Linked DNA regions of Callithrix jacchus. The protein of the gene in region 2 binds, or shares a complex with, the protein of the main gene of each other region. Links are inferred from orthologs where the notes say so. Each region holds a gene or a part of one and is shown on either strand. Other genes may lie near its edges.

Region 1 (3,412 bases), on a different chromosome or scaffold from region 2:
CAAGAGCTGGCACCAGGCCACAGCGCCTGCTGGGGTGGGGAAAGGGCCCCAGTACTATGGGCACCACTGGAGCTAGAACAGCCACCTGTACCCAGGCTGGCAACAGCCCAGCAGTGCTCACACAGGACCAGGCCTTCTGCCAGGGACTCCAGAACAGCAAGGCCCCAACTGGCAGCAGCCTGATCATCTGGACACAGCAGAAGAGCTCACAGCTCCTTCCTGAAGATGAGCAAGGGGAGCAGGGCTGTTGCTGAAAGGCAGGAAGCCCCTGCCCTGAGCCCCACAGCCATTCTTCTCAGCTTTCTGGGTCTGGAAGGAGAACATGCTGAGAGGACTGAGGTGCTACCAGGAGCCCCATTCACCCCCAACACCCCAACCTGGGAATCTGAGGCAGAGGGGAGAGAGGCCTGCCAGCCTATTCACATGCCACCTTTGTCCCTCCGGGCCCCAGCCCCACTCCTGGCTCTCATTATTTTTATGCTAAAACTTTAAAGAAATTGAACATGACCTGTTGTTGCCTTTTATTTAAAAACTGTAACTAGCCCTGCCTGGGGCTCCTATACAAAAACAAAACACAACCCAAAATCAGGTTTCCTCCAGACCCCAGGGACTGGGGAGGGGTGGGGGCACAGGACTGGGGCTCAGCAAATGGAATGTGTGCCGGGGAAGGCCACCTGGAAGCCCCCACTCCACCCCCGCCCCAATCCTCAGGATGGTGCTGGGCTGTCCCCTCGCCTCTGTCCTTGCCAGAAGATGGAGGAGAGGTGGCCCGGTCTTCTGAGATGCTCCGTGGGAGCCGCATGCCGATGGGCTGGTTACCAGGCCGGGGCCGTGTTGGCGAGACGCCTCATCCGCCTGGAGAAGGAGTTGGGGAGGGCAGTGAGCAGGGCCGGCTTCCAACCTGGGCACTGCCCTTCCTAAGGCTCTCCAGGGTAGCCAGGTGTGGGGGTAGGAACAGAGGCAGGATGTAGGCCCCCAGCAGGGTTGGACCCAGCCTTCTCTCAGCCTCACCTGTCTGCTGCTCAGACCCTACCCATCACTCCAGGGATCCTGAAGCCTGGATCTGGGCTGTGGTCAGATCCAGCCTGAGGAATTATGTTTATTCCCTGCAGGGAAACATACCCTGGGGCCTGGATGGGGCCTCATCACCCAGGAGACTGCCTGCCTCTAGCAACACTAGAGGTACTCTCTTCCAGAGACCATGGGAGACTGGGAAAGGCAATGGCCCTGTCCCTGGCAGGAAAGCCAGGTGACTATGGGCAGAGCCGGACCACAGTGCCAGGGGTACCTTGTGTTCCTGTCCTGGTCGCGGATCTTCTTCTCCATCTCAGCATCTGTCAGAGTCTCCAGCAGTGGGCACCACTGGTCTGCATCGCCCGTGTTCCGGATGGCAATCTCCACCGTGGGTAGAGGGTTCTCACTACAGGGAGGGGAGGCAGTGAGAGGAATAACTTTTCCAGCTATAGATGAAGAGTCCTCAGAAAGCTCTGGCCAGGGGACTCTGGCCCCTGTCTGTGCCCTGCCTCTCCCAGCAGCACTGCTGGCACCCAGGGATGCTCCTGTCACCTGAACCTCAAGGGAGCTGCTGGAGGTGCCAGGCTGTCCCCAGAACAGTGCTGCCACCATGACCCCATGGGCTTCCCTTCAAAGTGAACTTTCAACAGGCCCTTTGTGCCTAGCGTCTGTCTGTCTCTGAGATGGGGGAGGGGCCACTGGCTGTGGAGGAGGTCTTCCTTGACAGGACAGCACAGGCTGGGCCACGCTGATGGGCCAGGCTGATGCCACTGGGCCTCGGTCAGGAGGGCTGTCTGCTCCACCCAGTGTCCAGAGCCAGGGCCCGCTGATCAGAGAAAAGGGATGGATGGCAAATGGGAGCAAAAGAGTCTCCCATAAGTCCCCAGTGCCCCACTACTGAGGCCACTGCACAGCCTGCTCCTGCTTGTTCCACACGCTTGCCCCTCAGCCCACCTCCTGACCCAACCAAACCTCTGAGAGGCTGGTGTGTGCCTAGGGTCAGACAGCTGGCTGGCAGGGAGCTGGACTGAAGCCATATCTCTGGACCACACTCTGCCCTGGGTCTCACAAAGACCACCCAACTCTGCCCCCAGGTACCCTCCCCTTGCCAAGAGGACACAGCGGAGGAGGGGGGCAGCACGGGCAGAGGCTACACAGGCATGGGGTGGGCGCAGGAGCACTGGAGGGTGGCTGGCTGTCACCTTTGGGCCTTGATTTGCAAGTCAGTGTGACGGGATGCTAAGGAGACTACAGCTGTGGATGCCACAGCGCCCATGTGCCTCCCACGTGCAGTGGCTCCTGTCACTCCCACCTCTGAGAGAACAGCTTTGGGTGCTGTTTCCCAGTTGAGTGACACCAAACCCCTGGCCTGGCAGAAAGCCTCAATGTGAGGTCCTAATCACGACTCTCCTGCTTCCCCTCCCCTCTCGTGGTCCTTTCCTTTCTCCTCCACTTGGCACTTGCTCAGTTCCCTGGGAGAAGGCCACCCTGCTCTCCCTCAGCCTGCGACCCTGCAAAACACCGTGAGCTCGGAGGAGCAAGGGCAGGCTGGGTTCAGGGGAGGTGCCAGGCAGACACTGACGGAGTAGAAGACAGGTCCCTGCAGACCTCACCTGGAATATGGAAACATTTACTGCTGTGAAAGGCTGTTGAAGGATGTTACTAAAGAAGCCAATACACACCCACTGAGGGAGCTTTCTAGGGCCAGGGACCTCTCACAGCTTCCCTGTAGCCAGTGCTTGAGGTTGTGGGACCCATCAGCTGCAGAGGTCAGCCTGCAGAGCTCTGGCTCCCCACACCCACACCAGTGCACACACACCCAACACCAGAAGCCTCAAGCCCTTTCCAGGTCAGGCTCAGTGCTGCTCTCCTCAGCCTGAGGTCTCAGGGACTGTAAGCATGCAGGGCACTGGCTGCGGCTGGCTCTCCCTGCAGCAGGCCTGACCCTCACAGCTGAAGCTCAGACCACCAGGTCCAGGCCCATGAAGCCCAGAAGCTCGAGCTCATGCTGGTGACGCAGAGACCAGGACCAGAGACAGTGCTGGCGCCCCACCCCTGTGGCCCTCTGGGGCTGACCCATCATCAGCAGCTCCTGACAGCTGTTCCTCAGCCAGCACTGGGTGGTTTAGCAAGCTAGGGACTGCCCCAGCCTCAAACCCCAAACCTCATTCCTCACTGTGGGGGCTCCCAGCAGCGTTCCTTGGAAGGCAGACATGAAAGGCAGCAAGCCCACACCAAGGGGAGCAAAACGTTTTCCTCTTAACTTAAACAAGAGCTGACGAGTGGGTCCCAGAGGCCCCTTTGTTTACCTCCCCGTGGCTCTGGGAAGATTCCACTCCAATGGGTTTGTTCTAAAATAAGAACTGTTCGAACCAACCATGTAAGAATGAGCCTGGAG
Region 2 (3,650 bases):
TGAGAAAGAGCTTCAGGCAAACGGAGAAAGGAACAATCCATTTCCAGGAACCCCGATTCCCCCAGCAGCTCTGCTTGACCTTCACTGTGCACCCCTCCGACGAAGGCCCTCTGAGACGCAGCCGCATGCCAACTGCTAGCACCAGGGATGGGAACACCCATTTTGGGAATGGTGCCAAACTTCTGGTTCGGGCTGTTGGCTAATAGGTGTCAGAGGAATACCGGTTGAACAGGCAGGCGCCCTGTAAGCACCTGTCAGAGCCTCTGGCCTCTGCGTGGAGGCCGCAGCCCCGCCTCTCCACTGATGTGTGCCTTAGGAAGTGTCGTACAATGCTGTGATGTGAGGCATCCATGGAAGCCAGAAACGACGAGAAGAACTTAAGACTCAAAGCAATGTTCCTAGAAGTACCAGAACACCGACATGTTTGTCCTTTGCACATTCTCATTATGAATGGAAAATGTTTAATTTTTAAAAGCTACACTTCAAACTTAATTCAAATGTTAGCTAACTAATCACTGTATAAATACAAGTGCTCAGAATTTCAAAGTCCTATGTCCCAAAGGGCTAGAAAAGAATAATAGGGATGATTTAAATGTACACCTATTACATCTTAAAATGGAAATGAACTCATACTTTTATCTTTCAACTACTAGCATATTAAGAAATTACAAATACCATCAAAAATAGCAAGTTTTAAAAGGCAATAGATTTGGAACTTTGAAAGATACACTGGTTTAGGTTAATATACTAAGTCTTGTAGGAAACAGAACAATGGACTGAATATATTCCCAACGTGATTGAAGAATGAGAATAATAAAAATAAATAAATTTTTAGACTATCACATGTGAAACAGACATGGGCACTTTCGATAAGTAACTTTTAACCTTGAGATCTAAGAAGGAAGCTTAGAGATAAGAGGAAAGAAATGTAATTGACATGGTAAAATTTAAGTTGCCTAACAAGCAACGTTTTTTCAGAAGAGAAAACTTAACAATGAAGTAGACCTATCTTTAATATGATAGCGCCAAGATAATTCTTCTTCTAATCTTGCCAGCTATCCACCAAAAAAACATCTGTAGCTTTTCCTGGACCCTCAAAAATGAAACAAACCTAACTGAAATCCTTGATCCAGCACACTAAACAATACCTTATGGTTAACTGATGAATGAATATATCACAAGTAAATACTGACCACATCATGGCCAGGTTAAGAATTAGAAGAGTAAATTCCTAGGTGCCTAGGAGAAAGCAACATGGGATGGACTCCCCAGAACCAGGCTCACAGACAATACCATAAAGAAACCTCATTTGGTAAAGCAGTGATTTTTGAACCTTTTCTCCTTTGTATTACAGCAAGGAAGCTTTCCCACCAACCGACCTGTCCCTGTGACCCCAGCATGTGGAATGATGAAAGGTGAGTGGGTCTGGCCCAGTGGTCCCCAGCAGAACAGCACACGCAGCTTCCAAAGGCAGCGACCCCAAAGTCAGCTCCACCCTGTGGCATGCCACTGTGGCTCTGGCGAGGGAAAGGCCCTTCTAGTATGCCTCTGTATTTTTTTCTTTAAAAATCTGAAATATTATATGAAAGCCTTGTTTATAATTGTGTCTCTTGTTAGGAGGTAGAGAACACACCACCGAAGGGGAGGGGTTTATGATGATAAGTACTGAAGTCAGGGCACAGGCACGGGACCTTCTTCACAAAAAGAGGCCTACCCTAGGCCGTTATCTTAGGAAGCAGTTTGCAGACGCCCTTTCAGAGCCATTTCAATTACTTTTCCTCCTAGCTAATTAAAAATCAGTCTGTATTATCAGTCTGGCTGCTGAACTTGCCACTTTCACATCAAGATGACTTCCTTACGAGGCTGCAGTGAGCCTTGTGCTGTGGGCTTTCTAGAGATGTTTATTAAGGTGCAAAGTACTGTCTCTCTATTTAAAATGTTCACAGGGAAGAGTGGCAACATCTGAAAATGCACTGCCTGGAAGACCTTTCCAGAATGCTGAAGGCCCAGTGTGGCTACTCCTGCTCAGACCTTTGCCCAAGACAGAAAAGAGGAGAGGGAGGCTGGTGCTGTGGTGGCCCAGGCACCCAGGAGCTCCAGGTGATCCACACCTGGAGTGTGCAGCTGCCAGGCCCTCAGAAGGAAGCTGGGTGCTGATGCTGGGTGCCAATGTGACTGGGGTGGCCCTGGCTCTTGACTTTAGGAAGATAACTCCTACGAAGGCAGCCACCTGACACTCACCTGGTGACCAACAGCCATTGCCTCTTTACTTTCACAGGAAAGGGGACACTGTATACTGTCATCAGTGGTTCAGCTGCCAGGACTCAGAAGCACGTGTTTGAGGAGAAAGCACAGTTTCTAGAAAATCATCTTGTCGCCATCTGAGAAAACCCTCACCTTCGGTCGTAACTGGCTCCATAGGGAAACTGCTGGCGCTGCCCCATGCCTAGACTGGACACTGCTCCGGAGGGGCTCTGGCTGTACACGTCCTGCATGCCGCTGTTGGGCATCTGTCCTTGCGTCAGAAAGGGCTCGCTGCTTCCAGGCACTGCAATATTTTAAAAATGCAGACATTTAGGTGTTTCTAAAGTCTCAGGCCCATCCATCCCTGCTAGTAATTTCTATTGTCTTTGTACTTTTCTTTTTTGAGAGGGAGTCTTGCTGTGTCACCCAGGCTGAGTGCAGTGGTGTGATCTTGGCTCACTGCAACCTCCGCCTCCCGGGTTTAAGTATTCTCCTGCCTCAACCTCGCAAGTAGCTGGGATTACAGGCACCCACCACCACGTCCAGCTAAGTTTTGTATTTTCAGCAGAGACAGGGTTTCACCATGTAGGCCAAGCTAGTCTTGAACTCCTGACCTCAGGTGATCCACCCTCCTCAGCCTCTCAAACTGCTGGGATTACAGGCATGAGCCATACTTTTTCTTAATATGGTAGACCATAATACTATTGAAAGAGCATAAGGTGTGAGCCAAGATGTGCTCTGTGGGGGCCAAAATCTAAGATGGCCCTGAAGATCCAGTGCTCCCCTGCCCGGTGGGCACCTTCATGAGCCCCTCCCCTTCAGTGTGGGTAGGACCTATGAATACAACACCATCACTCCCATGATCATATTATGTTCAAGGCAAAAGGACTTCACGGAAGTGACTATAGTTACTAAGCAGCCGACTGCAAGTTAACCAGAAGGGAGATTGTCCGGGGAGCCCTTTAACTTTGGGTCTAGAGCTTAGAGATGAAGCAAGTCAGAGATATTTTCCTGCTGGCCTTGAAGAAGCAGCTGCCATGCTGTGGAGAGAGTCACGTGCTAGGGAGGGTGGGCAGAGGACAGTCAAGAAAACGGGACTGCAGCCTCAACCACAAGGACCTGAATTCTGCCAAGACTTAAACTCTGAAGAGGACCCTGAGCCTTTGAGGAGCTCACCGTCCTGCCAGACACCTTGATTTCAGCCTGTGAGACCCTGAGCACAGGCCTAGTCACACTGTGCCAGTTTTGTGACCCACAGACTTTGTGGGATCATACATTTATACTGTTTTAAGCTGCTAAATTTGTGGTAACTTGTTATATAACCACATAATAAACGAACACAGGCCCAGATCCATTCCTTACTTGGGTTAAGTCACCTGAGTTTAATTTTTTTTTCTTCTTAACAT

What was found. Proteins that work in one complex are often made in the same cells at the same time.
Region 1: ARID1B (region 2) and SMARCB1 share a complex: the UniProt entries of both Homo sapiens proteins name them as parts of the neuron-specific chromatin remodeling complex. The link is inferred for Callithrix jacchus from reciprocal best matches to the Homo sapiens genes ARID1B and SMARCB1.

What each region holds. Positions count from the first base shown.
Region 1 is NC_133502.1:192,657,002-192,660,413, forward strand, and holds the end of SMARCB1 (SWI/SNF-related matrix-associated actin-dependent regulator of chromatin subfamily B member 1), read right to left. Parts: intron 1,421-3,412; coding exon 1,289-1,420; intron 856-1,288; coding exon 816-855; 3' UTR 507-815; downstream 1-506.
Region 2 is NC_133505.1:164,029,088-164,032,737, reverse strand, and holds part of ARID1B (AT-rich interactive domain-containing protein 1B), read right to left. Parts: intron 2,549-3,650; coding exon 2,398-2,548; intron 1-2,397. UniProt on the Homo sapiens protein: Involved in transcriptional activation and repression of select genes by chromatin remodeling (alteration of DNA-nucleosome topology).